4 linked regions of the Elephas maximus indicus genome follow. The protein of the gene in region 1 interacts with the protein of each later gene in a pairwise test. Links are inferred from orthologs where the notes say so. Each region holds a gene or a part of one and is shown in the gene's direction. Other genes may lie near its edges.

Region 1 (7,929 bases):
GGGGTTCACACTCCGGGGGGGCAGGATGCTGACAGGCTTCCCCCAAGTGTCAGTAAGGTAGGCGTGTCTCTATTCCTAAAGCACCTTGGTGGGTTGGCTCTGCAGCTGTACCTTAGGCCCCCAATGCAAGTACCTCTACAGACTGGTAGGTGTCACCCTCCTTAGACCCCTAAGGCAGGAGGCTAAGTTGTCTGGGGGGAGCTTCAGCCCTCAGTTCCCTGTTGTGGGTCAGTGAGGGCTCTGTTGAATATGCAGAGATATCAGACCTGGGAAACTTGTCTTTCCAGTAAATCCGCTAAAACAATTACAGTGAGATCCCTATCAGAAATTCCTTTGCATTATAATAGCTGCCTTGTTCCCTGTAGGGATGAAAGCCCTGTGGATCACATATGCTTGGCTGGAGCTGGTTCTGTGTTTTTAGTCCAATTAGGGAAGGATTTTTGGTCCCTGGGTTTTTTGTAGTTGCTTTTCTCAGGCCAGGAGAATGGGTTAGGAAAAGACAAAAACAAAATGAAAGAAAGAAAAACCGCAGAGCAGTTTACTCTCTGGCTCAGGAAATTACAATGTTAATGAAGCCGCCTGGGAAGGGGAGGGGAGGGTTTAGAAAAATAGGAGAGAGTAGCACCCCGGAATATAGACAAAGTTACTTATCTTGCTTGGGATGACTGTTTTATCTGAGATTCCTGAGGGGTGCGTTTTTGACTGTGTGCGCTGGCTGGGTAGAGATTGCCCCTGAGGGTCAGGCCCGCGTCCCGTGCTTGCGCTGTCTCAGAAGCTGCGGTTAGTTCCTCCGCTCCCAGTCCGAAGCCCAGCTCCAAGGTTCCCCAGCAGGGATGCCGCACTCCCGGCTCCAAAAACAGTCACTGCCTCCCGGTGACTTCTCCTCCTGTCAGCCATGTTGCTGCGCTGCCTGCGTGCACTGGCTGGGCTTCCCCTGAGGTCAGTTCAGGGGGTTAGGGCTGCACCCCGTGATTGTGCCATCTCAGGATGCCATGCTCAGCTCCCCTATGCCTGGTCCAAAGCCCAGGGCCAAGGTTTCCTGACTGGGACGCTGGCTTCAGGCTCCGAAAACAGTCGCTGCTTCCTCGTGGTTGTTCGTTCTCAGTCTCTGTCACTCAGGTCAACTCTTTAAATCTGTGTTTGTTGGTCAGGGTTCGTAGATTGTCATATATGTGATCAATTCACTTGTTTTTCCGAGTCTTTGTTGCAAGAGGGATCTGAGGTAGCGTCTACCTAGTCAGCCATCTTGGCCCCCTGTATATAAGTTTTTGTGTGAGAGACTGACTTGATTTGTAAACTTTCACTTAAAGTACAATAAAAATTAAAAAAAAAAAAACTTGGATTAATTTCTTGCTCTTGCTACAAGACTACTGTGGGTCTGCAGAGAGGGTCTGCTCATTGTAGTCGGTCAGGAATCCAGACTGAATGGGTTGGCTCCAGTGCTGTTTCGTGCCAGTCTCCTGGTCGTGCTGCCACTGTTTCTCTGCTGCTGCTTCATCTGTGAGTTCTCTGGTGTTACAGCTCTCATCATTTCTTTTTGAGTCCTCACCAGAATTTTCTTTGATGTCCATAATTCCACCAACAGTCTCCTCAAGGCAATCTAGGCTTTTACTATTAAACATTTTAGATCTCTTGCAGCCTCTACCCATTCACAGTTTCAAAACCACTTCCACGTTTTAGGTATCTGTTAGAGCAGCACCCCACTCTCGGTACCAAATTCCATCTTAGTCATCAAGTGCTGCTGCAACAGAAATACCACAAGTGGATGGCTTTAACAAATAGATATTTATTCTCTCACAGTGTGGGAGGCTAGAAGTCCATATTCAGGGCACCAACTCCAGGGGGATGCTTTCTCTCTCTGTCAGCTCTGCGGGAAGTTCCTTGTCATCAATCTTCCCCTGGTCTAAGAATCTCTCAGCACAGGGACCCTGGGTCCAAAGGACACACTCTGTTCCTGGCACTTCTTACATGGTGGTACGAAGTCCCTCTCTTCTCTGCTCGCTTCTTTCTTTTATATCTCAAAAGAGATCGACTCAAGACTGCCTCTAATCCTGCCTCATTAACATCATAGGATTTACAACACATAGGAAAATCACATCAAATCATAAAATGGTAGACAACCACACAATACTGGGAATCATGCCCTAGCCAAGTTGACACATATTTTGGGGGAATGCAATTCAATCCATAACATATGTTTAAGGTTTAACACTTGAGCAAGCCACTTGAAATTATAGAACTCACCATTGTTGATATTACTGGTGTAGTGAACAAATTATTTTTATCCCATCTCTCATCTCACACACTTATGTGAGAAGCTTTCCTCTTCAAATGGCAGCCAACTTCACTATGGAAGAACAATTTTGTACTCACTGCCCATTTCTTCAGTGTATTAGTTAAGACAGAAACCTTGGTGGCATAGTGGTTAAGAGCTCAGACTGCTAACCAAGAGGTCAGCAGTTTGAATCCACCAGGCGTTCCTTGGAAACCCTATGGGGCAGTTCTACTCTGTTCTATAGGGTTGTTATAAGTTAGAATTGACTCATGGCATCAGGTGGGTGGGTGGATATCCCAGAGTGAAATGGGAAAGTACATGGAAGAAAGCATGGAAGAGATTTTATCACCCAGGCTGGAAAGCATTGTCTTGTCCTTATTCTAGAAAATTTCTGACTGGTTTACCAGAGAAGTCAGCTTCCATGGCTTCATGCCACTACTGAATTTTCATGACAAACACGGCATTTCAAGGTTCATAGATCACCAGTGCAGGGAAAAGCAAGATTAGATAGTTATCTCTGTTCTTTTTAGTATGCATACAGATTTGCATAACCAAAAGATCAGCGGTTCGAATCCACCAGCTGCTCCTCAGAAACCCTATGGGGCAGTTCTACTGTGTCCTGTAGGATCACTTATGACTTAGAATTGACTCAACAGCAATGGGTAATAGTAATAGAAGGAGCCCTGGTGGCACAATGGTTAAGCACTCTGCTGCTACCCAAAAGGTCAGAGTTCAAACTCACCAATTGCTTCATAGAAGAAAGATGTGGCAGTCTGCTTCTGTAAAGATTTACAGCCTTTGAAACCCTATAGGGTTGCTATAAGTCAGAATTAACTTGATAGCAATGAATTTTTTAGTAATAAAAGGGGGCAGTATGGTTCAGTGGTAGAATTCTCACCTTCCAGGTTCCAGTTCGAGTCCCAGCCAATGCTTCTCAAGCATAGCCAGCACCCTTCTGTCAGTGGAGGCTTGTGTGTTGCTATGATGCTGAACAGGTTTCAGTGGAGCTCCCAGACTAAGGCTAGGAAGAAAGGCCTGGGGATCTGCTCCTGAATATTAGCCAGTGAAAACCCTATGGATCGCAACGGTCTGTTACCATTGTGCATGGGGTTGCCATGAGTTGGGGCCAGCTTTTCTGCAAACAACAACACAGTAGGGGAACGTTATGCTGGTTAGGTACAATCTCTCTAAGCAGAACAGACTGTAGATTTTACATACAGCTTTTGGGCAACATGGACTTCAGAGACTGGGGAATTTCCAGAGGCATTTAGGGTTTTTTTTTAGGGTTGACATCACTTGTAGAAGTTGGTTGCTTAAATGAGCCTGTTGTTGATTGGTGGCCCTCGGAAGTGTGAGTATTGTATGGTTTGTGATTGGCTGGCTATGAAAGTGAGGGGCTGTCATTGACAGGTTGGCTTTCAAAAGTGGGTTCATTGAGGCAATTGCCCTTGATCTATTGAATGGGTTTTGCTACTTATTACCAGGGTTCAAAGCAATGAAAATAACCCTTAATCATAGTTAAAATTTGTGAAACATCAGTGAACAAAGCTATTCCACTGTTTTTTTCCTCTGAAACTTTCAGGCTGCCTTCTGATCACTTCATGGAGGGTGGGTTCTACTGGAGGCTAATCATGCTTAGAGAAACCTGGTCCTCACTTCTGGAGGGAAGGGACTAAGCCTGGTTTATTTTTACAGTCTCCAGCCTACACTTAAAAAAACCAAACTCTTTGTCATTGAGTTTATTCCAACTCATAACAACCCTATAGGACAGAGAAGAACTATCCAAGGAGGGGCTGGTGGACTGGAACCGCTGACCTTTGGGTTAGCAGCCCTAGCTCTTAACCATTTATAGTATGTGTTCAACTTCTGAATAAGTGAAATATTAGAAGTCACAATCCTTCAGAATGTCAGAATTTTTAAAAGACAAAGGATTGGGCAGACAAACTCATGGGTTTCACTGATTGCCATGTGAACCTAGGACTAGTAACAGGATTTTTAGGTAAATGTTTGGCTGATGTTAGTACCCTACTCCTTAGGTCAAACTTGTGATGCTTGTGTTCCAGGTGTGTGCCATTTCACACAATTGTCAAGGGCCTCAGATATCTACCCCCTTTCAGAAGGATCATGAAAACTCTTCAGAGGACAGCTTGGCCAGCTTAGTGAGCCCAGACTTTGTCCTCCGAAGTCAGCCCCTCTGAGTGTCACAAACCTCCACTCCCTGTAATTCCACCGGTTTTCCCCAGCCCCCTTTGGACTGCTTTGTGATGGGAGGAAGATGGGAGCAGGATGGGCAACCACAGAGAGGAAGAGATGGCAAGTGTTTGTAGAGCGCAGGGTGGGGTCCCGGGAATGGAGAGGGCTCGGTGGAAACATAGGGTGCGGCCCAGGTGCATTCGGGCCAGGAGGGAAGAAGGGGTGCGGCCTCGGTGCAGTCGAGCTGGGTGGGAAGATGGGGTGCGGGCCCGGGTGCAGTCGGGCCGGGATGGGCGGCGCGGGTCCTCGCGGACCGCAGGAAAATGGAGGGCGGGCTGGGAAGACCGGGTGCCGGCCCGGGGCCAGCCGGCAGGCGGTCCGGGCGCTCGGGGGCGGCGCCCGGCTCTCATTGGCTCAGCGGCGCCCCTCCTCGCAGGGCGGCCCGGCCCGGGGAGAGAGGCTTCGGCCGGCAGTCGGAGGCAGAAGTGACCTCGGCGACAGAGGGGCAATGGTCGAGTATACGCGAGTGCGGGACTACGTGGCGCGGATCCGCCTGCGAAACCCGCCGGTCAACGCCATCAGGTAACAGACCTGGCAGGTTCACCGGCCCCCCGCTCGGTGCTGGTTTAAATCCAGAAACTGACACCGACTGAACCCCAGGCATCTGCGGGGACGTTTTTACAGGGGTTGGTTTGGGGACTCTTCGCAGAGAACGCTCATCTCGGTTTGACTGGTAAGGAAACCGAGGCTGAGGGGTGTAGCTACTAAGTAGGAGAAAGGGACTCGAACCGGCTCTGTCCACGCCAACTTCATGCAAGACCCTTCTGCTAGCTCACAGCTTTGGGTCTTCAGTAGTTTCTATTCCAAAGATCTTGGTTCAGTACAGTCCTGGGCCCTGGACCCTCACTCCCCAGCCTGAAATCCAGGCTGCCCTTAAAACATGTAGCTAAGAGTTTTAGAACTCAGAAAATAAAATGGTTTACAGTCGCCTTGAGTCAGAGTGGGTTGGACTGGCAACTAACAACAACACAAGGCCCCAGTTCATGAGAAGGCAGGGAGCATGAGCTGATCTGCTCCAAACCACAGGGCCTTAATGCTTCTGTGAAAGGTCCATGTCAGAATAAACCCTCAAATGGCATTTTCTGAAAAGCTACTGTGCAGTTTATCACCTTTTATTTCATCACGTGGTAACTTCTTTGTTAAACTCTCTAACCGAGATTTGTGCAGAACACTTGCAGAATTACTTTTAAAAGTGAGAGTAATGCTGCCTTTTTGAAAATTAATGACTTTATGGTACAGGTTTGGTCCTTCCATATCTCTGCAAAAAAAAAGTATGGTGACACTTTAGCCTTAAGAAAAGCCACCCATCCACAGGAAGCGGGATTAGAGGAAATTAGCATAAATAATCATGTTATACAAGGGCCTTTGATCAGAATTCTTAACTGTAGACTACTGAAGCAAAGAGAGACTGAAATGAGGAAGCCTGCTAATTTTAACTGCATTGTTTATTCTTCTGTTATCAGATTTGATTCCATCTTTAATGTTACTGTTATAGTTCATATTATAGTGTGAATGCTTGCATTTAATAATACAAAAAAAAAAAATCGCAGGAACCACTCCCACAAGGACAATATGTCCGCTTGATTGAAAAGAACAGTACGTCAAGTTTCTTGCTTTGGATGAAAAAACCCCAAGTAATAGGATTATGTATCAGTTTTGGACTTGTCTGTGTTCTGGTTAGAATTACCAGACGTTAGGACTCTCTGCCACACCTCTGCTCATAATGGGAAACTGTGCCAATCAAGGGAAACCCTGGTGGCATAGTGGTTAAGAGCTATGGCTGCTAACCGAAAGGTTGGCAGTTGGAATCTACCGGGTACTCCTTGGGAACTCTGCTCTGTCCTGTAGGGTCCTTATGAGTCAGAACTGAGTCTGTGGCCACGGGCTTTTTTGGTTTTACACTACAAAGGCTGGTTGGGGTGACTTTGCAGGGTAGCTGCCCCCCTTGCAGTGACACAGCAATCCAAGCTACTTTAATCTTTGGAGGATACCATCTCAACATGTGGCTCCCAGGACGCCTTGGCAGGGGGATGGAAAACAGAGCACCATGCAAAAAACCAAACCAGTTACTGTGGAGTAGACTTTGACTCACGGCAACCCTGTGTGTGTCAGAGTAAAACTGTGCTGACTTTGCAGAAGTAGATCACTATGCCATTTTTCGGAGATGCCTCTGGGTGGACTCCAGCCTCCAACCAACCTTTCAGTTAGCAGCTGGACATTTTAACCATTTGCACCACCCGGGGACTCCTGGAGAACCACACCACACTCAAAAAAACCAAACCCATCAAGTCAATTCCAGCTCCTAGTGACCCAATAGGACAAAGCAGAACTGCCCCATAGAGTTTCCAAGGAGTGCCTGGTGGATTCGAACTGCCAACTTTTGTTTAGCGGCTGTAGCTCTATTTTTGGTGTTGTTCCAATTGCAATCATTCTTTTTCTTTTTCTTTTTTTATTGAACTTTAGATGAAGGTTTATAGAACTAATTTCTCATCAAACAATTAGTACACACATTGTTGTATGACATTGGTTAACAGCCCCACAACATGTCAACACTCTCCCTTCTGAGCCCTGGGTTCCCTGTTACCAGCTTTTCTGTTCCTCCTGCCTTCTAGTTCCTGCCCCAGGGCTGGTGCGCCCCTTTAGTCTTGTTTTGTTCCATGGGCCTGTCCAATCTTTTGGCTGAAGGACGAACCTCGGGAGTGACCGCAGCATTACTGAGCTGAAAAGGTGTCCGGGGGCCATACTCTCAGGGTTTCTCCAGTCTATGTCAGGCCAGCAAGTCTGGCTTTTCTTTTTGAGTTGGAATTTTGTTCTACATTTTTCTCCAGCTCTGTCGGGGACCCTCTCTTGTGGTTCCTGTCGGAGCAGTCAGTGGTGGTAGCCAGGCACCATCTAGTTGTACTGGACTCAGTCTGGTGGAGCAGCCATAGCTCTTAACCACTGTCTCACAGAGCAATGGCTTGCACACTTTTTTGACTGACCCGCATAGTAACCCAAGTTTTACATTACAACCCAGGCCATGCATACATACAAATACATGGCTAAAACCAAAGTTTCTGGAAACAAAACTAACCCTTCCATATTATACAGTTTGATATAGTTTAGTCTATTTTCTCTCTTTTTTCAGTGCCAGTCACAGGCCACAGACTCGATGTGGTGACCTTCAGTTTAAAAGCAAGACAAAATACTATCTAAAAAAGACCTCCTGTGGTCACAGAAGCTAAAGGGTTTTGGTCACAGCACACGTGACTCCAGACTCCATTTCACCTGACAGGATCGAGGGAAGAAAATGAGTCCTTCACCCTGGGGATCTTTACATTGCTGCAAGGCTGTGGTCCCTTCCAGCTGGCTTGAATTCAATAAAGCTGTATCAGTTACAGCCATTTTAGTTTTTCTCACTT
Region 2 (7,549 bases), on another chromosome or scaffold:
ACTATCACTCTTGCTACAGCTGTGCTGCCGTCTCTCACTGTCTTCCATGATACAGCTCCCCCCTCTCTCCCCATGTCTCCCTTTAAGCCTCGTGGGATGGCAAAACTGACCAATTCCCTTTTCAGTGTTCCATACACCTTATTTACATGGTCCCACCCCCACAAGAATGCCGTGCACCCATTTATATTATTAGCCAGCTATGAATCCCCTTGGTAGGCTACAAGCACCTCATTTGCATAGTCTTATCCTGTCATTTGGTGGAAGTTACAAAGACTATGGGCTAGAAGGGCCTTATTAAGTAATTCACTGCACTGCAAAAGGACAGAGCTGGAATTTGAACTCAGGTCTGGCTGACCTGAAAGTTCATCCAAATGCTTAATTGAAATGCAAACTGCCTTCTTTAAATTCAACTAAGGATGATAATGAGAGGGAGGTCTTTGGGGGAAGTAGAGAAAAACTGTATGGAAGTTACTTTTAAGATGTGTCTTAAAGGGTGTTTGAGTATTTGCCTAGTAGAGAAGGAAGCTATTACTTTCAGGTGGAGGAAAGAGCATGCACCAAGTCAGGGAAGTTGGAAAAAGCAAAGTGTATTCAGAAAACTTAGTTCTTCAGTGGACCTAGAAAAGGAGGAAATTTGGAGCAAGCTGCATTGGGAGGCCAGAGAGGTAACTCGGGTCCAAAATGTGGAGGGTCCTATATGCCAGTGGTCAGTAGACTAGGATGTGCAGGCCAAATTAGCCCATGAGCTAAGAATAGTTTTTACACGTTTAAAGCAGGGCTTTGAACAGGTTCTTCCTGGTTCAATCATGACTGAGGAAATGACACTGGAACAGACCTAAATTTTTTAAAATTCGAGTGAACCAGAACCGTAACAGGAGCTGGGAAAATTACAAGTTGAAACCCTACTAGAAAGTTAATCTCCCTCTTGGAAAACAAGGGCAGCATACACATTGCATAACAACCAAATCTCTTGCCTATTGGATTTTGCGCGGAGTTGGAAACAGTGGTACCCCAATCAAAGATGGTGGCCTACCTCACTGCTTTGAATGTGTGTCGCTCTTCTCGGTCCTGGCAATAACCCAATCTCACACATCAGGCTCCTGAAAGGGCTCACTACACCTCTTCCGAGTCTCCCATTCCAGGGCTTCGATCCAAAATTTTTCCCATTCTGGTTATGATTACGGATCACCCAGATTTTTAAAAATTTGGTTCTGTTTCGGTTTTGCTTCATTGGCCATGACTGAACTGGTTCGAAGCCCTGGTTTAAAAGACTGTTTACAAAAGAAAAAGAAGACTATACCACAAACACCATTATGTGGCCAGCAGAGCCTAAAATATATTTACTATCCGACTCTTTACAGAAGTAGTTTGCCGACTTCTGCAGTATGTCATAAGAAGTTTAGGCTTAATGTTGTAACCAATGGGCAACTTTTACAAGTATTCAAGAAGAGAAAGAACAAGATCAGATGCAGGTTTTAGAAGAAAAATTCTGATGAAGAGTAGACTGGATTGGGGTGGGGTGGGGAGAAGCAAGAAAAGGAGGAAGGAGCCAATTGAGAGGCCATTGCAGTGGTCCAACGGGTGGGCTGACCATCAGGGAGAGAAAGGATGTCACAGTTTTGGTGGTGCAAGCATAGGATAAGTGACTGTGTAACTGTGGGAGAAAAGGGAGGGGAAAAGGAGGTGACTAATTTTTCTCCTTTGGGGAGCTTCAAAGATAGAGTGAAGTTGTTTGAATTTGCAGGTCATTGAAATGTGGACATCTAATAGGGAATAACAGTTGTAGCCAATGGGGGACATGAGATTGCTCAGGGAGTGTGAAGTGTTCTTCTGTTTGTTCTGCAACTTTTTGCTTTTCTCCATTCTGACTAAACAGTTTTTAACAAGTGAGGTTTCCAAGGAATGAGAAGTTAAGGAAAGGTGAAGCTCAGGATGGAATAGGGGACAACAGCTTCTTTAAAGATTCGTTATGGATGAAATAGTAAATGTTCTCAATTTCAAATAGTTATTCATAAACTTTTGGGACTCTATCCATTGGAAAGTTGGGGACTGTCTGAATTATGTTTTGGTAGAGTTGTAGATGATACCAGTGCTCATAATGAAAATGTTTATTAGTGTTGACTGAAAAGAAAAATTATTTACACTATTTAAAATGGAAATTAATAATAAATAAATAAATAAAATGGGAATTATAAAAAAAAAAAAAACACACATCACCCCCTAGAGAACATCAGGTTGATCACAGCACTTCGGAAAGTCTGTGTATATAATTTAGGTACACATTAAACCACTCTTCATTCAGACAACAAAATGACAGCTTTTTTGCTGTTGGGAAAGAGAAAATCCACACTAGAAAAATACATTATAAGGTGGTCCTTGATTTACAACAGGGTTCTGTTCTGACACGAGTCAGTTCTGACGTAAGTCAAATACTTCATTTTTTTTTGAAATTTTCATTATTATTGCCTTTTATTATCAGTATCTTTAAAAATCCAGTCTTTGTCTCTGGGGGTTGGAAACATTACATATAAACTTACAGATATATTTTAATACACACATACATAAAAAATACACAAATCATAAAAATTTTCTCCAAAGATGAAGAAGAGTTGGACGATGTTGGCATTTTGTCAGTTGCGGTAATAACTCCACTTTTGGAAAGTTCTGTGTCTTCTGAATTATCCCTGGGAATTGGGATAGTGTTTCTAATCAGAAAATTAGTAAGAGTTGTCTGTATGGTCCTTTTCTTTTTTTCTTCATATATTTCCTGGTAACATCTCACTGCTTCCTGAATCTGCCTATTGACTCTAGCAAAGTGATCAGCGTTTGGGTCCATGTTTTCAAGCAACCCAAACCCCTGATTTAGTTTAGAAAACTAAATCTATACAGCAGTGTTTTGAAGAGTTAATCATAAAATTGAACATCTTAGAGTGAACATCTGAGAATGATATCATCAGCACATATTACTAAGAATAAGATGTACAAAAAAAAAAGGACTGTCAGAAGTGCAATTAGTGGTAACTGGAATACATCTTAAGTTGGGGACTACCTGTACAACTAACTTCCTTAATGCAATGGCAAAGGCGTATCACTAAAGATGGAAGGGAAGAACATATTAAAAATTTTCTTTTCAGCCATCAAGGTCTTTGCAGAAATGATTGATTTTTAATTCACTTTTGGATACATTTAAGGTTTATTCTTTGGCATCCTAAGAGCAGCATTTTGTTTCTATTATCTCCCTTATTTCTCCATAGCCATTTGACTCTAAAAGTCATTTCCTTGACATGAAAGTGACTTCTTTCTGCAGTTGGCAGATATTGTGAAAGTGTCACTTGGATGTCATTGGCTCAGTCAACCCTCCATTTTGCTCTTCCAATTTATGATACTCCTTTCCCTTTTTTCTCCATTCTCTTCTTTTAACCCACCCAACTCTTCTTTTAGTAGCCCATTATTTGGCTATTTCTCTGTTAGTACCTTAACAGGAATGGGTGGATAATGGCGAGGAAGGAGCGTATGAACTCAAAATCAGTAACTTTTGGAAAAACACTTCAGTGAGAAGATGTGGAGTTATGCCCCCTAAAATCTTTGTTTCTGAAAAGTGGAGTCTTACACAAAGAAACCGGCCTTTGAGTTTGGAACACCCACTCCGGACAGCCTTAGAATTGCATTTTGGAGGCCACAGGCTTAGGATCATTACAGAACTAACTTTTGCATTTAAAGGGCCAGGATTTGAAATTGAGCCAAGCTCAATTATGCAAGTCAATATTTTAAGTAATTCAATCTACATCAGGATTCCTTGATTTTTCATTAAAACTAATATTGAGGGGCCTCATTTAATCGTACAGCAAATGCGGATGTAATGCAAGTTCAAAAGAAGTTTGGGGGCTGGTATATTTGTGAACTTGAGTTAGCTGCTTGGTGATCAACGTGGTTCTTCATTCTACAGAATCACTTGGGGCTTCTGGGTAAAGAAACTTGACCCTCATTCCTGTTAGATTTAAATAATAAAAAATCATAATGATACAAAGTTATGTCCTCTTGAGTAACTGGTGTCAGGCCACTTCCTAGCCCTTCTGCTGCCTCCCTTGAGCGCCTGGCAAGGAACACGTGCAGAGAAAATGGATAAAAAGGTTCCAATTCTCCGCAATAGCACGTTAGAAATAATTTCAATCGGTTGGTGAGCTCTTGCCTCCTTAGAAAAGTGTGGTTTCAAACAGGGCTTCTGTTATCTCTTTATAAAAGCCCTTTTCCCCAATGGCTTGAATTCTGGTAGTGTTCAAATGCCCAGCTGGTTTTGCGCTCTAAACCACGAGAGACCTTCCTACCTCCCCACCCCGCCACCCCAAACACTGAGGCTCTTTAAAACAAAACTAGGGTTAAGGAAATTCCGGAGGGGTGGAGGTGGGAAGGCGAGGCCAGTGGTGCAGACGTCAACGGACTACAATTTCCACAAGTCCTCGCGGGGGCTGCTCGCTGCCCTCCCCTCCCGACCCGTGAGACTTGCGCTTGCGCAGGAGGCCCCGCGCTGGAGGGGGAGGGGGCGGGGACTGGACGTGGCGCCTGAAGAGAAGGAGGAGGAAGAAAGAGAGCATAGACTTTCGCACCGGCCTAGAGCGGCCCTCAAAGTGTAAAAGAGAGGAGGGTGGGCGGGGACCACCCTCAACAGGCCCCCAGCGGAATCATGGCGACCCGGAACCCCCCTCCCCAAGGTGAGCGGTCCGGGCGCGGCTCACAGCTCCTGACCTTGCTCCGGGGGCGGCTTTACCTTCCCCTTCCCCAGGGTCTCTGGGGCTCTGTTTTTTCTTTGAGGCCGCCCGTTTAATACCCCCTCTGAGCTAGACTTCGTCCTCCCCTCTTGGTGGAGCGCTGGGGGAGAGCGACCCTCGCCCCCAAAGTAGCCCCACCCCTTGTCTGTCTTTTCAACCCCGGCCCCTCATCTTCAAACGGTTTTTTAGTCTGACTCTGGAGTGATTTCTTCTCTCCGGCTCCTGACCGATTCTTTGAGAGGAGAACCCCCCTCTTCTCACTGAAAATGGACCTTTCTCTGCTCCTTACCCTACTGAGATTTGGGTAGGTGGCCCCTCACTGCTGTGTAACTCTGATCTGACTGGCTTCGTGCCCCTGGCTGGTCCTTGGGCCTTTAGGAAGGAGATGGGCATATTATTTCTAGCCCCTTTTACTCTTGAAGTCCTAATAACACTCATCAGTTTCCGCCTGGACGTTTTTACCTGTAGGCCAAAAGTAACAGTGAATTGTAACATTAAAAAAAAAATGAAGGAACATTTATGACTTTAGATTGACTCTAAATTAATTTTTTTCTGTTTTTGTATTTTGAAGAGTATGAAAGTGATGACGAGTCTTACGAAGTGTTGGATTTAACCGAGTACGCAAGAAGACACCACTGGTGGAATCGAGTGTTTGGCCACAGTTCGGGACCTATGGTAGAAAAATACTCAGTAGCCACTCAGATTGTAATGGGTGGAGTGACTGGCTGGTGAGAAGAACATCTTTTTCATTAAATTCATTAGGAGCCTGGCCTCTGCCCTTTTGTAGGTGGGCCAGACTCAATACATATTGAGTGGGTTTACACTGTTAATCCTAAAATAGCACAGTTTTGAAGCTTTTCTCTGATATGATTGGTGTAATCTACGCTCAGACTCAGTGTTGGTTTTGATAATTCCCCTCCGTCATGCCTGCCAGGGTACCACTATTCCCTCCTCATCCTTCCTTTGATTTTTTTAATATAGATTCCTCTTTCTGAAGTTCAGCATATGTAGTGGATCTGACTCCGTAATAGTGAGTAAATAGAAAAAAATATTTAAGAGTTAACTTTATGTAAATGGAGCCCTGGTGGCACAGTGGTCAGGTGTTCAGGCTGCTAAACAAAAGGTCAGCAGTTCGAATCCAGCCACTCCTTGGAAACCCTGTGGAGCAGTTCTGCTCTGTCCTGTAGGGTCACTATGAGTCAGAATCGACTCAACGGCAACGGTTTGGTGTTTGGTTTGGCATGTGTAAATAATTTTTACATGTCACCCAGTGGTAACAACTGGAACAACCTGTGAGAAACTCACACAGTAGAACTGGTCTCCCGGATTGTCAGTGCTATAGGGAGCTGTGTAAAATCCTCATTAAGAATGGTTGATGATGATACAGATGGTTCTGTTCATTTTTGTGGGCTGGTTCTGATTATACCAGTGCTTTGAAGAGGAGCTGTAGAATGGTGGTTCTGTGTTGGAATTAAAGGGCTGGCTGCTTCCCTTCTAATATTGTGAAGTACGTTAAGGGGGAGCAGTTAATAGGCATTAGCCTAATCAGTTAACAATTTCGGACCACATGATTACGTAATTGCTGCTATGGATCTACTTTGGTTATTCCTGGAATAAAAGATTGGCCAAGTAACATGGATTAGAAACAAGTCTGACACTTTATTTTGAAAATGTACATGACTGTAGAGAATTTTTGTAGTGAGGGTACTTACAAATAATGGCTTTTTTCTTAGATTCTAAGTTAAATTTATCTTGCATTAATTTAAATATACTTGGTAAGTATAACTTTTTTTTTGATTTGTGTTTTTCATGCACTTTGAACAGTGGCACACTCCTCCATGCCTTTTTAAAAATGCCATTTTATGGGAAGATTCTGTAATGGAAAGGTGCAGTATTTATTAAGTGTATTTGTTAATGCGGCTGTATGAAAAAAAGCCCACAGTTAGAAGAGAGATGTCTGTTCGTGGCCTTGGTCATTCAAACAATTCTCCACAGGCTGGTTGTACTTTGATCCCCTAATTTAGGGTCTGGTCCTCTCTTTATATAAGCTCACAATTTGGTGCCATAGATGACTGGTTAAAGTGAGTCAGGGCCTAATGTCCAATCTTAAAAAAAGAGGCTAAGAAATAATTGAGAAACAGAATTATCAAATCACTATTTGTAGGCCTCATAATTGGCAGATGTTTGCTTGGAGAGCCTAGAGACAGAGCAGGGGGAGTTAGTAGGTTCATTTTAGCAGCTGATGCCATCATACACATGGTTGTGGAGCATGCTGTCCAGGATATCGTTGACACCGGAGACCTGGCTGCTGTTTGCTTCTTCCTCTTCCTTTTCTGAGCATTTGATGCTGCCCCCCCTTACTGAGGGATATGTTTTTTATAGTAATACATACATTTGAGTTATAGCCAGGTGGTAGCCCAGGAGCTGTGTGCAGTAGGACTCTAATATTATACAATGATTTGTTGCAATGACTATAGATTCAGTGTAGCAAATTTTTGCAATTTTCTAAGGGAGTGAAACTGATGTAATAATTTGTGTCATACATTAAAGAGGAAAGGTTAATAAGCACTAACCAGTTAACAATTCAGACCAATTCAGGACATGTATGGGAGGCTAAAGAGATTATATTTAGCTGTAGGTAGCTATAGGTTTTGGAGCATAGTGAAAATAAAACTGACATCAAGATGGGTGGTTGCTAGGAGAGACTGGAGCTCAGGGGAAGACCAGTTAGAGTGGTCTGGAAGCAAGGTAATAGATGCCTGATCCATTAGCAAGGTAATGAT
Region 3 (7,493 bases), on another chromosome or scaffold:
GACCATTGTTAAGAAAATTAAATTGAAATATGTATAACACTCTCAGCCTCTCAAATGGTGGGGGGAATCAGAACATAAATGAATAATTATATTGGTTTCTGTTACTCCTTGTGGTGCTTTGTATACTTGTAATGCAACAAAAGACATATAGTTCATCCACTCTATTCTTTTCCTCTAATTACAGATGAAAGACAATTTGTCTTTAAAGATCCTAGCTGAATGATCAAGCTTCTCTCTTGAACACTTACTATACGGTTTACTTTGTAAGTTTGGTTTCAGATTTGGTGATATCAGGATTAATAACATTTTGTTTTATGCTGGTACATTTTATCTTGCTGGGTTCTGAACAAAGCACAGCATTTTCTAAATAAGAATTTTGCAATACCAACAAAAATACTCATGTGCTTACATGTATAAAGTATGAATACCTGGGACTAAATTTGTTTACTGAACAAATCACTTGGAATTATCTTTAGGAATCAAATAGATTTGGTTTCAAGTATTTTTAGACTAGGGCTGGTTTTCAAAAGTGTTTTCATTTAAACTATAATTATAGTTAGAGAGTCAATGAATAGAATTCTACTTATGTAAAAAAAAAAAAATTTTTTTTTTTTTTTACGTAGCCAATATAAATTCATTGCTGTTACTTGTAAGCACACACCTTAATTTAATACACAAGATAGGATCCCAAACTAGTCTTGTTTCTTCATTTCTTTTTCACCTGAAACAAGTCCTTAGAAATTCAAACCAACAGTGTTATGGATTGAACTGTATCCCCCAAAATGTGTTTCTTCATGGATAGGTCATGATTCCCAGTATTGTGTGGTAGTCCTCCATTTTGGGATCTGATATATTTATCCTATGTGTTGTAAATTCCCTATGATGTTACTGAGGCAGGATTAGAGGCAGTTATGTTAATGAGGCAGGATGTAATCTACAGGATTAGCTGTACTTTGAGTCCATCTCTTTTGAGATATAAAAGAAAGAATCTCAGAGAGGGACCTCATTACCATCAAGCAAGAAGAGCCAAGAGTGCATGCATCCTTTGAACCCAAGGTCCCTGAGCTGAGAAGCTCCTAGACCAGGGGAAGACTGATGACAAAGCCTTCCCCCCAGAACCAACAGAGAAAGGCTTCCCCTGGAGCTGGTGCCCTGAATTTGAACTTCCAGCCTCCTAAACTGTAACAGAATAAACGTTGGTTTGTTAAAGCCATCCAGTTGTGGCATTTCTGTTTCAGCAGCACTAGATAACTAAGACAAACAGCAACAGAAATAGCAAAAAAACCACAAAACAAGGTTTATATAAAGAACAAAGGTCAACACATGACTTTAGATCTCTTTATTTACTCCAGTGATACTTACTTTAGTGAAGAAAATAATTTGTTTTGTTCTTTCAACATTCACTCAACAAATCACGGGCTCTGGAGATGATCCGACAGGGCTAGAATCCTGGCATTATCTCTTAATTTAACCTCTCCACACCTCATTTTCCTGTTCTGTGAAATGAGGACAAAAACATTACCTAACTAACAGGGTTGCTGGAAGGATTAACTACGTAAATACACACAAAGGGTTTATAACAGTCCCTGATGATACTAAGTGCTCAGTAATTTCTAGGTGTGGAATAGTACAGTTGCAAACAAATCAAACACAGTCTAGTGGTCGTGTGGATGGGGTAGGTATTGAAAGGCATCAAACAAATCACACAGCTAATGGCATCTTTATAATTGTGTTATGTGTCCTGAAGGAAAAACACAGGATGTTAAAGAGGAATGTGTGGGCTGTTTTCCCAATGAACTGCCAAAGTTAAACTCTGATGACTTTAGAACATCTGAAATTTCCACTACCCTATATCCATCCATTATACATAGTTTTACTGAAAACCTCAAACCTCAAAAGCTGAGAACTTTTAATTTGAAGATGATGATACATTTATAGATATCAAGGTTTTTAAAGATAAATTCTAGCATGGGGGGGATCATTCAATCTGTTTGTTTACTACAATAAACTGATGAGTAATTTACTACATATTTTATTAAATATTTTACTTTTTAACATGGCTTTTTAAAGGACAGATTTTTCAAAATCTTATTTATTTGGGGGCTGAAATTTATTACCGCAGTTTTTAAAGAAGTCAATTTGACATAATATGCAGAGTCGAATATATTTTTCCAGTCACATGCTCACCCTCTAAGTTGTTTTTCTCTGGTGAAGCAGGAAATCAATACCCATCTGTACTGATAAAATTGCAGAGTGTTTTTATATTAAATACTAGCCTCATGAGTGAAGACAGTTCATGAATAAGAGTTGACAGAGGAAAAAAAATGTGTAAGATAAAAATGCAACAGGAAAAAGGCTTTTAAAACGGATTCAGGGTTCCACAGGGTTCACTGAAAAAGGATGTCAGGGAACTCTTTAGAAGAGTAGGGGTTTCGATGCAGAATATAAAGAGGTGAAACAGAGAGAAAAAAACCATGTGGGCTGAGAAGTAGAATAGCAGGTAGGAGATGTTCACCTCAGACAATGATAGTCATACTCTTGTATAACTATATTACTTTTTATGTGCCAGGTGTAAAACCCATATATATTCTAATTAATATTCACGACACTCCGTGAGGTATTGTTATTACCTCAATTTTATATAAAGAGAAACTGAGGTACAGAGAGGCTAAGTAATTTACCCAAGGTCACACAGCTAGGAAGTGGAGGAATCAGAAGGGGAACATAATTACCATGTCCTAACCTCTCCTAAGCTAAAATAATATGGGTAGAGATAGAAAGGCTAGAGAAATTGTGTCCTTGTTACTGGAAAGTAAATGAAAGGGAAGATTTAGCATTCAAACATCTGGAGGGATTGCAGTGACCAGGACAGTGGGAAAGGTGAAACACGCAACAGAGACAGGGTTTAGCTTGGGAGCAAAAATAAATTTTAGGAATCATGTACATGTATCCCACATAAGATGCTTTGATACTCATTCATGGCAAGATGCAAAATACACTGCTATTTTATTATGAGAATATATATGTAATCCAATATCACTGACCCAACCCATTCTGAAGCCTCCCTCAGTCCATTCCCAGCATATTCTCAACCTCTAAGGACCAGTGATAGGGTGAGGCTCCGGGATAAGGTAAAAGTCAGAGGCAGTGATAAGGATATTTGTGCTATCTACTTAATAATAAAATGGTTCCAAGACAGTGTCAACATATCATGTAGCCAGGAACATAAAATCCGTTGCACAGAAGGTGTCTTCCTCAATTTCGAATAGGTTATTCCTCTTAGAAGGGCTGGATTGATAGTGGTATAGGACCCAGACTTTGAAATCAGAAGACCAGAGATCCAGGCTCTGACATTTAGCTAGATTTTAAGTTCCTCCACCTCTCTTAATATTCAGATTCTTCATCTTTAAAATAAGGGATAACAAAACTTTCATCATGGAGTGGTGAGGATTAAATTATACAGCCTGGGAACTATCTAGCACATAACTGACACTCAAAAAAAGGGGACTGCTAAGCCAAAAGGGTGCCTAAAAATGCTGAACTTGCTTACTATGGATTTTAGACTATTAAGATTATCAAGAACTTGTCAATGTTTCATTTTTTCTGTATGTTTTAAAAAGGCATGTTTTTCTATACATATGGAGTCCCTGGGTGGTGCAAACAGTTAAGTGCTTGGCTACTAGCCTAAACATTGTTGGTTTTACCCACCCAGAGGCACCTGGGAAGAGAGGCCTGCCCATCTGTTTCAAAGTCACAGCCTGGAAAACCCTACGGAGCAGTTCTACTCTATAACACTTGGGGTCCCCATGGGTAGAAATCGACTTGATGGCCTAATAAAGAATAAAAAATGTAAATTTGAGCTTAAGATTACTGGTTATATTGAATTGTGGAATCACTCTTTGCATTTATTCCAAATCCCATCAACATTTCAGGTATGACAAACTTAATTCTGCGCAGATGAATTCAATCCAGGCTTTATGATTTTTAAAAACTGAAGGCATAATTGCCGAGTCCAAAGCCTCACCCTGCAGGGTCTAAGCATTACCTCAGCAAAACTGGCAGGCCACCAACTGCAGCGTCCCTCCAAAGGCACCCTGGAGGATGCTGATAACCAGGGGCGAGTGTCAGGTCCCAGGCCGCGGGGCCGCTCCCTGGTTCGGTAATCCCGGAGGTCTGGGGCTCCGCTCTTAGGGCCGTGCTCGGGAGTGGCGGGCCTCCCCTTCCTTGTCTACTTCACCCCCTTGCCCAGTGTCTCCCAGTGCTCAGGTCCTCGCCTTCCTTGCCCAGCCAGCCTTCCTCTTCGACCCCCCACGCTCACACTCGCCCCTACCGGCCATCCAATCGTATGCCGTCTAGCACTGACTGTCCAATCAGGAGGCAGCCTTTCCGACGAGGGGCGGTGCTGACTGGCAGGGCCTGCGGTGTGTTGTCACATTCGCCTGTTTAGGGTGAAGACGTCTGACCTGAGGCAGCCTGCAAGGTTCTGCAACCCAACTCGGACACCATGGCGGACAGCCGGGACCCAGCCAGCGACCAGATGAAGCGCTGGAAGGAGGAGCGTTCCACGCAGGTAAACCCCGTGCCTCACCAAAGTTGAGGGTCTGCGAATAAGGGCCCCAGCTTCCACCGTGCAGAGGCGCCCGGGAGGGCCGTACCATTGGTCACGGGACCGGGGGAGGGGAGCCGGGCAGTGTTTGTCCAGATGGGCTGTTACATTGGCGGGGGAGCTGGGGAGAGGGTGCTGGGGCAAGGGCAAGCGGGCTCCCAATAATGCTTGCAAACCCTCAGCTTTTGCCTTCGGCAATTGGCGGCGGGTTTTGCACGGTTGCCAACTGGGACAGAGGTCACAGCTTGAGGGAGGAAAGAAGGCCCCGGGGGAAAGAGATAGAGGGCTGCAGCTGCAAGAAAGGAAGTGTGGGGTGAGAGACTGGTGGGAAAGAGTAGTGGGAAGCTCCAACTTCCACCTTCCCAAAGCTTTCTCCGAAACCCTGGAGGCGTAGTGGTTAAGAGTTCGGCTGCCATCCAAAAGGTAGGCAGTTCGAATCCACCTGGTGCCACTGCGTGGGTTCAAACAGCCAACTTTTCCAGTAGTAGTCGAGCGCTTAAGCTTTTGTGCTACCCAGGGACTCCTACCCATTATCGTCAAGTTCATTCCGACTCATAGCGACCCTGTAGGACAGAATAGAACTGCCCCATGGGGTTTCCAAGGCTGTCAGAAGCAAACTTCGGGCATCCTTCTCCCGTGGAGTGTGGGTTTCAACCACCGATCTATCGGTTAGCAGCCAAGCGGTTTACCAGTGTGACACCACCGCTCCTTCCAGTGACTAGTAGTGCTTGTGCTTGTGCACTGGGTATTAATGCTACAGTGCTCATCAATTGCTTTAATGGTTCTCTTTGAGAGTACTGCCATTCTTCTCTAAGGTCCTTGAAAACCTCTCCTTGCTTGCCTGTCCTTTTCTATATGCCTCTAGGATTTTTTTTTTTCTAGGATATTTCAGTTTGTCATGCAGCTTTTAATCAAAGCGAACCAGAGAGATGCAGTGTCTTAATCAAGGATACACAGCAGTTAATGGCAGAGTCAAGATTAGAACTCAGCTTCTTGGGGGCCAGGACCCTTTACATACTCAGACCAAAAAAACCAAACCCATTGCCGTTGAGTTGATTCTGACTCATTGCGACCCTATAGGGCAGAGTAGAACTGCACCATAGAGTTCCCAAGAAGCACCTGGTGGATTGGCACTGCCGACCTTTTGGTCAGCAGCCATAGCTCTTAACCACTAGGCAATCAGGGTTTCCTTTCCATACTCAGTGGTTCATACTGATGTTTTTATGAATACTTGATGAATTGAGAAAAACATGGACAATGTAGCGAGTTTTTCATAAGATAAAATTTATTTATTTAAAAGGATTCCCCATTATTCTGAGACTAGCTTGCCTCTTCATTGATTGGGAGAATCATTAAACCAAACTTGTTGCCATGGAATTGATTCCGACTCATAGTGACCCTATCGGACAGAGTAGAACTGCCTCATAGGGCTTCCAAGTAGTGGCTGGTGAATTTGAACTGCTGACCGTTTGGTTAGCAGCCAAGCTCTTAACCACTGCACCACCAGGGATACGGGAGAATCATTATCTGTTGTTAAATCATTAAGACTCTACTGGAGTCCCTGCATGATTAAGCTCAGGACTGCTAACAGAAAGACTGGTGGGCCAGGCCTTGGAAGAAAAGGCCTGGCAATCTGTTTCCGTAAGGTCACAGCCTTGAAAACCCTATGGAGCACAGTTCTACTCTGGCAAACATGGGGTCATTATGAGTCAGAATTGACTCGATGGCAACTGGTTTCTTAATTTCTTTTCTGCTGTTAATTTATTGTACATAGTGGCCCACATGAGAAAGAATTGACTTATGAGGCAAAATCTATAATTTGAAGCATCTGCCTTTATGATTTGGGGGGTGTGGGCGGGACTCAGTTGAAATTCCTGCTGTTGCCTCTGCCCACGGCATGTCAGTGCCCTATGCACATTGGTCTTGATTCATAGTCACATTGATGTCTCATCGTTCCTCAGTTTTAGCTACTGTGACTGGTAACTGCTCACCTCTTTTAGGTCATCCCCCAGGACCCTCCAAAGGGGGTTTTGCATATGTCATACAGTCTGTATAATTTTCAATGCTTTATTATGAAAAATTTCAAACTTTCAGAAAAGTCGAAAGAATTCTGCAATGACTACCCATATATCTACCATCTAGATTCTACAGTTACCACTTAGCTGTGTGTTTTATCACATGTTATTCCATCTGTCCATCCCTTCATGTATCCATTAATCCATTTTATTTATTTTTGGGTTACATTTCAGAGTTAATTGTGGACACCAGTATACATCACCCTTAAACACTACGCATAGTATTATTAACAGAGTTTAACATTTTTTAGATAATATTTACATACAATGAAATGCACAGATCTTAAATTTATCATTATATGATTTTTTTAAAAAATAATACTGTGTTTTTGATGAAAGTTTACACAGCAGATTAGGTTCCATGTGATAATTTTCGGTACAAGCTGTTGAGTGACACTATTTACATTTTCCACAATGTGTCAGCATTCTCATTAATTGTGTTCTGGTTGTTCCGGCCATTCTATGAGTTTTGACAGATACATACACCTATGAATCCGAAACCCCTGTCGAGAAGTAGAGCAAAATCAGCACCCTAGGAAGTTCTCTTATGGTGTTTCCCAGTCATTCCCTGCAACCTTACCCCAAGAAACCATTGTTTTGATTTTTTCTTTTAAACATTAATTTATATACTTTTTTAATAAGGCTTCTTTCAACAAAAATGTTTTTATGATTCATTCATGTTATTGCATGTATCAGCAGTTTTTTCTTTTATTGATGAGTTTCATTCTTTGGCATGAGTGTATCACCATTTGTTTATCCTCTTACTGGACATCTGGGCTAGATCCTGTTTTTGGCTATTATGAATAAAGTTG
Region 4 (7,507 bases), on another chromosome or scaffold:
ACCTAAATTTTACCAGTGTATGCTGCTTACAGACATAATAGGCTCTGTGAACCAAATAAAGGGCTGATTTGAAATTCTGTCAGTAAAACTTTTTTTAATCAAAACCCAGTAATCAATCTCAACCATCTCTTTAAAGTCTACATTTTCAACAAACTTTTACTTTTGGTTCTATAAGTTTTGATCAACTTTTTAAAAATTAAAGGATAATGTAATCCAAAATTTTTAACACTTTTGATCTCAGAAAAAAGGTTAAAATCAAACACTAATATACAAATTTTTGGTTGCACAAAATGATAAAATTACCAATAATATTTTCAATCATAAATGTAAATTATATTACAATAAAATTTTGTGGGCGACTGAGTGGAAATAAAGTTTCAAGCAGAAATAGTGATATAAAATGTCTGATGATTTTAAACTGCAACATGTTCAGCGTTTTTCAAATAGAAGATGGTAGGGTATCAAAGAGCTATGGGTATTGTTGATAGTTACATTAAACTGGATACGTTTAAATGAGTTTTTTAAAAATGTCAATATTTTACTATGCCAGAAATTCTTTACAATTTCTTAAACTTATGATGACAAATTGCAAATGTCTTCTTAAAAAGGGAGTACCCTACAGGCTGGGAGCCCTGGTGGCACAGTGGTTAAAGCATTCAGCTGTTAACCAAAAGCCACTCGTATCGGGTCACTATCAGTCGGAATTGACTCAATAGTTTTTTTGCGGGGGGGCAGACTGGGAGAAGATTTTCAGTAACCATATACCCAATAAGGGTCTCATATCCAAAATATATTTTAAAAAATCAACGACTTAACTATGAAAAGACAAATAACCCAATCAAAAAACAGGAAAAGGAATTGAGCAAACATTTCATCGAAGTGGATATTCAAACGGCCAACAAGCACATGAAAAGGTGATCAGTGTCATTAGCTACTATCAAACCCACAGCTATGGAGTCAGTTTTGACTCACAGTGACCCTGGAGCAACTAGAGAGATGCAAATCAAAACTACTGCGAAATACCACTTCACTCCTACTGGAATGGCAATGATCAAAAAAACCCAGAAAACAATAGGTATTGGCAAGGTTGTGGAGAAACTGTAATCCTCAGCCATTGCTGGTAGGAATGTAAAACGGTACTGCCACTGTGGAAAACTGATTGGCCATTCCTCAAAAATTTGACCATTGAATTACCATGTGACCCAGTAATCCCATTCCTAGGTATATGTCCTGAAGAAGTGAAGGCAGGAATGGAAATAGAAACCTGTACACCAACGTTCATTGTAGCACTTTCTACAAGAGCCAAAAGGTGGAACAACTGAAACGTATACAGATGAGTGGATAAACAAAATGTGGCATATACAGACAACGGAATACTCCTCAGCCATAAAGAGAAATCAAGTCTTGATACACACCGTTACATGGGTGAACCTCGAAAACACCCTGCTGAGGGAAACAGGTCAGTCACAAAAGGACAAATACTGACAGTATGATCTCACTTATATGAAATAAGCAAATATATAGAAACTGATGATTATTAGTGGTTACCAGGGGTGGAAGAGAGGGGGAAAGGACGAATTTTTGTTTTGGAAGCACTGAGTTTCTGTTAATGGTGGTAGAATGATTTGGAAATGGATAACGAGAATGGTTACACAAGTTGAAGAACATAATCAATGTCACTGAATTATACATGTAGAAATTGAGATGGCGTACTTTCACAATAAAATTCTTAAAAAGAGAAAAAATACATGATGGTACATGATTTTCCACATTTTTATGGGGTATGTAAATATAAAAAAAATTGAAGAACACTTACAGGAGTCTAGTTATAAGTCTGCCTCTTTGGTCTGAGAATGAACAGTTCATTCCCATTCATTCACTGGGTGACAATCCTGGCAGGTGAGCACAGTACAGTGTGTGTGGTATTATAGAATATTCTGGACAGATTATGAGATCAGAAATCTAGCTTTTTCAGTAACATGTTTTGTAACCCATGGCAACCAGTGAACCTGTCTGGCTTTGTTTCCATACCTGTAAAACGAAGTGATTGGACTTGGGTTCATTGGAAACTGGGAGCTATTCCATTGTGTCATATAAGCTCTATATAAGAATGCACTGAGGGCGTTTGTCATTATCTTTTCCTTCTTGTTAAAGTACTTGGAAGTTTTTTCCCTGCAGGTAACATAAACACAGTCGGGAGTAGAAAAGAAAACATTTAACTTTTTTTACTTTTGCTCGCCACTAAAGAGAAAATGCTTTTCTAACACTAAGGAATGAACAATCAAGTAATTAATTGAAAACCCTTGCATGGCCACTAGAGTGATTTTTGAGACTTTATGGAGGCTCTTATAAATCCTGTGGAGAGAAAACTGGTATACAGCGGGCTTATGTTTACACCACGCATTATTAATCTGAGATCTATGGACAGAATTCAACGGGTCCAAAAACTTGTGTAGAAAAAAATGTCTTTATTTTCACTCATCTGTTAATTAAATTTTTAAAGTACCTGAGCGGAGCTTGCTCTCAGCTACTAACCAAAAGTTTGACCATTGAAATCCACCCAGCTGCTCTGGGGAAGAAAGGCCCAGAGATCTACCCAAATCCACCCACCAGCTCTGAGGAAGAAAGGCCCAGAGATCTACCCAAATCCACCCACCAGCTCTGTGTAGGAAAAGACTGGCAATCTACTTCTGTAATGTAAACCAAAAAGACCAAACCAGTTGCCAGAGTCAATTCCCTGCTTCTGACTCATGACGATCCCATGTATGTCAGAGTAGAATTGCTCTGCACAGGATTGTCAGTGGTGGTGATCTATCATTAGGCAGTAGATCACCAGGCCTATCTTCCTACACGCCTCTGAGTGCATTGGAACTGCCAACCAAAGGTTAGCAGCCCAGGGCTTAGTGGGTGTGCCACACCCGGGGACTCCCTCCATAAGATTACAGGCATTGAAAACCCTATGAAGTGCAGCTTTACTCTGAAACTCACGTGGAATTGCCATGAGTCAGAATGACTTCTACGCAAAGGGTCTGGTTTTTAATTTCGCATTTCCTTCGATTCTGGATGTAGGTAAAAACTAGCAGTCGCTGTTACTCTGTCACCAAATCAGTTTGTTATCTCATTACAGCTGTTCTAGATGTGTGAAAATATCATTTATGCTCTTCACTACTTTAAAATTATGGTAGTTTATTAGGCTTGCTGCTAGCTCTTTTTATGTAATGCAAAAAGTACACATATAACTATGAACACACACTATTACTACATAACCAAGTTATGTGAACGCAATTTAGTTCCTTTGTAGTCCTATATACTTTTCATGCATTTAAAAACATTGCTCTGAGGAGGGGTCGGTTAAAAAAAAAAAAAAAAAAACCCTTACCATCAAACCGATCCCGACTCACAGAGACCCCTAGGACAGAGCAGAACCGCCCTCCCCCCTCCCCCCCCAGAGTTTCAAGGAGCAGCTGGATTCCAACTGCTGACCTTTTGGTAAGCAGCCGAGCTCTTAATCACTGAGCCACCAGGGCTCACCAAATTGCCAAAGGCATCTCTGGCACACACACAAAAAAAGGGCTAAGAACTCCGGCATGAACACAGGCATAAATATCATTAAAGGGCCATTAGTGCAGCAGAAAGCACTTGGTGGCTGTCAGTGTGAATCTTGAAGACTGCAAATTATGGCTCGATAATTGCCTTCATAATTCGTGGGGCTGGGATGCAGAGTGAGTGGATAGCCCTAAGGAGCAATGAGTTGGAACGTAAAATAAGAAAAAAGCTTTTCAGAAATCTCGGAAGCCAAGGGGCTAGGAGGAGCCCACTTCAGTCTCGTGCTTTGTTACTGGTACGTCTACCGATGGCAAACAACCCACTTCCTGTTGACTGACACTATTGCCATCCCCACCCCGGTTCTCCCCCTGCTTTCACAGGGGGCACACACAAGGCAGAGGAACAAAACCTACACAAGTGAATCAGAGAAAACTCAAAAACTCATGTTCGGGGATTGCACCGATACCCGAAGGCTCCCAGGGCTTACAGGTGCGCGAGGAGGTTCCATTCCTTCTGGTCAGCACACCAGGAGCTCTGGCTCCTGAAAACCACTTGCACCGAAAAGTTTCTCCCGCAACCTCAACTCTGGAAACCAGCGCTTGCCGGGCAAAAGGGTTCCGCCACCTCTGGCTGGCTGCCCCTTTCCCTCCGCGTACCTCAAAGCCCTTTTGCTTGGAAGCCTGCCCTTTCCTACAACCCAAAGTGTGGATCTCTTTAAAAGCCCGGGTTCGAAAACTGAAGCCTCAAGAAACGTACTCAGACTCCTCCTCTTCCACTGCAGCTGGGCGACACTCCAAACCAGCGCCTGAGGCCGGCGCTGTTGGTTGACGTAGCATTGCTTCATTGGCCTGCCGACCTGGCTTCCGTGCTTTCATTGGTTGTCGCGCGCGACCCCGCCTGACGGAACGGGATTGGCGGAAGGCGGCAGGCCCCGCCCCTCGCCCCGCCTCCGTCTCGGCGGCCGCCCGGGTGTCCTCGCGCTGCTCTTCCGCGCGCAGCCTGGCAGTTTGCCTCTTCCTCGCCCTCCAGCCTGCGCCCATGGCCACCGCCGCCGCCGAGGAGCCCTTCCCTTTCCACGGTCTCCTGCCGAAGAAGGAGACCGGGGCCGCCTCCTTCCTCTGCCGCTACCCGGACTATGACGGGCGGGGCGTGCTCGTCGCCGTCCTGGACACGGGGGTCGACCCCGGAGCCCCCGGCATGCAGGTGAGGCAGCCCTCGGGGCCCGGGACGGGAGCGGACGCAGCCTGGGGGAGCCCGGCAGCCCGAGGTCCCGCCCGGCAGCCCGAAGCCCCGCCCTGCGGCCGAGCCAGCCCCGCGGCCGGCAGCGCCGAGAGCCCGGCAGGAGGCGGAGGCTGACGAGGAGCCGGGCGCACGTCCCAGCCTGGGGCGGCCCTGCGCCGGTCACGGGGACCCGGAGGCGCCCGGGGCGGCGTGGGCGAGGGGCCCGGGGCCCGGAGCCCGGAACTCGTGAGCCCGGAGCCCGGAGCCCGGACCTCCTGAGCCCGGAGCCCGGACCTCGGAGCCCGGAACTCGTGAGCCCAGAGCCGGGAGCCCGGACCTCGGAGCCCGGAGCCCGGACCTGGGAGCCCGGAGCCCGGACCTCGGAGCCCGGAGCCCGGACCTGGGAGCCCGGAGCCGGGCGGGCCGCGTCCTCGGCCCAGACAAAGCCGCGCGCCCGGCCTGGCAGGTCCGGGGAGCCGGGCTCCAGCGTCGCCGCCGAGAAGCCCGTTCGCCAGGCCGGAGCCTCGGGCGCCCGGCCACCCCCGCCGCCTGCCTCGCTCTGCGCGTCTCCCGGCTCCTGCGAGTTCCCAACCTGTCATTTCAACGCCTTATTGTTGGGTGACGAGAAAACAGAGGTGGGACAGGCGACCTCTCCGAACTTAATTTTCGTGGCTGTGGCTGCAGAGATCCGGTTCGGGAAAGAATTGTTTGCCTTTAAACACGAGAGCCGGGTTTCCGAGAAGATAACTCTGTCAACTTCCGGAATTGTTTCCTCTGCTCCTTTTACGCTTTCTATTTTTAAGCCATCATCTGCAGTGTGCTTGTTTAGGGTCGTTGAATGCCGTGGCTCAGCCTTTGTTTTTGCATGAGACAAATAAAATCAGTTTGTTTTTAGCCAGCTTTTCAGGCTTTATTAAATTATGCTGCGGTATTTTCTTAATGTCAAAACATAAAGTGACGTACTTCATTTATTTTTCTAATTACCACTTAATTTTGTCTTAGGCAACTTTTAAGTATTTTAGATCAAGGTACCGTAGCGAAAGGTAATTTTTAAAAATACATCACTTGGCTGAGAGATTTCTGCTTCAAGTCTTTTAAGTTTGATTTTTGTGAACTTAGACTTTTACCGAAATTTCTTTAAGGAACAGAATGTTAACCATTGTCCAAGGCCTGTCTCCCAAAAGCTTTCCCTGGCTAATCCTCCTGCGTGTTGATCTTCTTCCTCTATCTCTCACACACCTCTCTTTCTACGCTAAACTCTGAAGTTCAGTAACGTGCCTTCCTCCTTCCCTTTCTGGATCCTTCGTTGTCCTCTCTGGTAATTGCTGTAGTATTTTGGAGGTTCGGAAGTAATTTGGCGAAAAAGGGAAGCTAGGCTGACCTCGGTAGAGGAGTTCTCTGGGAGCCTTGCTTCCCCAGGGTAATTCTCAAGCCGCGCTCTGGAGTACCACAAACTCCTGTTGGCACTGCTGGGCAGCTTTGGTGAGTCAGAAGAGGAGCAGATGACGAATTCCCTCCTGTAACTACAGTATCTGTGTTGTATTAATAACTCTTTACGATTTAAAACAGTGACAGCTATCACCTCGTTGAAGCTTTATTACGAGTAGTAACAGTTTCTATTCTGTTGTGGTGTCTGTTTACTTTTTATAGGGATAAGTGGGAGAACAGCTGGGTAAGTGGTTCACAGGTTCCTTTGTCAGTATAATAAGAGGACCTGAGAAGTTTAGAGAAGTACTGTCGTAGTAGAAATTTCTTGGTAAAATTTCCCAGATCTGCTTATCGAGTTATTCTGTTAGGCCTGGTAAAGTAACAATAATTCTCACCCTACAGATTTGCTATGAAAATTAATTTTAAGGGAGGATTAATTATATGTGACTTCTTTAAGTGCTCAAGAAAAACGTTAAACTAATTTTTTAAGCAGTGATGTTTACTAGGAGTTTGTACTGGATCTTTAATCATCCATTATCCAAAGGTTAAATGTGTATTTGCATATATTAACATAAACGCTTGAGCAATATTTAAATCAAAGGAAAACATAAGTGTTCGAAGAACTTTAACTTTTAGATCCTGACCTTAAACATGGCCAATGAAAAGAAATTCAGTAAGGTGGCTTGTAAATAGGTAAATTTTTAAGATTCTTTACTTATAACAGATTTATTTTGTAGGTTTCTGTATACATCATTAAGATAAGACGGATAGAAATAAGGAGGGAAGGAATGAAATAGGAGTAAGAGGAGGCTGAAGTGGACATTTGGAAAGACATGGGGTATGAGTGCAGGAGTGGAGGGAGGCACAAGTGAAAACTTCCAGGGACACGGTGAGGTGTCTCCTTGTTTGGTGACTGTCTTGGACCCAGTTCTGTTTTGTGACAGCTGACTGGACATGTGGAAAGTGGAAGGTAGATGGTGTGAGGAAGCAATAGTTACATAAATAATTAAATACTTCCTCAGCAGATATTCAGGCACCTTTGAGGTGCCTAACGTTGTGTTAAATGATTAGTCCTGCAACCTGTGGTTGTTTTGGAGGTTGAAAAGGAGGGGGCCATTGAGAGCTGGATAATCAGGACTAGGTGGGTCTTGGACTGGATTTAGAAATATGTATGAAATATCCAGCTGGTCTCCCTGCCACCAGTCTTTCTTCTCTTTGAACCATCTTTCACATTGCTGGAGTTATTTTCCTTTAAAAAAAAAAAAAAAAGCTTAGTATTATACCCTTGTTTAAATCAAAAGCAGATACATTC

What was found.
Region 2: the proteins of EHHADH (region 1) and FUNDC1 interact in binary tests that used the Homo sapiens proteins (3 or more experiments, as listed by UniProt). The two-hybrid records come from large-scale screens. The link is inferred for Elephas maximus indicus from reciprocal best matches to the Homo sapiens genes EHHADH and FUNDC1.
Region 3: the proteins of EHHADH (region 1) and CAT interact in a two-hybrid assay, tested with the Homo sapiens proteins (2 studies listed by BioGRID, with this or other methods). The link is inferred for Elephas maximus indicus from reciprocal best matches to the Homo sapiens genes EHHADH and CAT.
Region 4: the proteins of EHHADH (region 1) and TPP2 interact in binary tests that used the Homo sapiens proteins (3 or more experiments, as listed by UniProt). The two-hybrid records come from large-scale screens. The link is inferred for Elephas maximus indicus from reciprocal best matches to the Homo sapiens genes EHHADH and TPP2.

Annotation. Positions count from the first base shown.
Region 1 is NC_064819.1:29,836,558-29,844,486, forward strand, and holds the start of EHHADH (peroxisomal bifunctional enzyme), read left to right. Parts: upstream 1-4,918; 5' UTR 4,919-4,976; coding exon 4,977-5,050; intron 5,051-7,929. UniProt on the Homo sapiens protein: Peroxisomal trifunctional enzyme possessing 2-enoyl-CoA hydratase, 3-hydroxyacyl-CoA dehydrogenase, and delta 3, delta 2-enoyl-CoA isomerase activities. Catalyzes two of the four reactions of the long chain fatty acids peroxisomal beta-oxidation pathway.
Region 2 is NC_064846.1:128,603,436-128,610,984, forward strand, and holds the start of FUNDC1 (FUN14 domain-containing protein 1), read left to right. Parts: upstream 1-4,536; 5' UTR 4,537-4,681; coding exon 4,682-4,709; intron 4,710-5,337; coding exon 5,338-5,494; intron 5,495-7,549. UniProt on the Homo sapiens protein: Integral mitochondrial outer-membrane protein that mediates the formation of mitochondria-associated endoplasmic reticulum membranes (MAMs).
Region 3 is NC_064825.1:89,648,032-89,655,524, forward strand, and holds the start of CAT (catalase), read left to right. Parts: upstream 1-4,485; 5' UTR 4,486-4,504; coding exon 4,505-4,570; intron 4,571-7,493. UniProt on the Homo sapiens protein: Catalyzes the degradation of hydrogen peroxide (H(2)O(2)) generated by peroxisomal oxidases to water and oxygen, thereby protecting cells from the toxic effects of hydrogen peroxide.
Region 4 is NC_064841.1:67,545,424-67,552,930, forward strand, and holds the start of TPP2 (tripeptidyl-peptidase 2), read left to right. Parts: upstream 1-4,493; 5' UTR 4,494-4,584; coding exon 4,585-4,749; intron 4,750-7,507. UniProt on the Homo sapiens protein: Cytosolic tripeptidyl-peptidase that releases N-terminal tripeptides from polypeptides and is a component of the proteolytic cascade acting downstream of the 26S proteasome in the ubiquitin-proteasome pathway.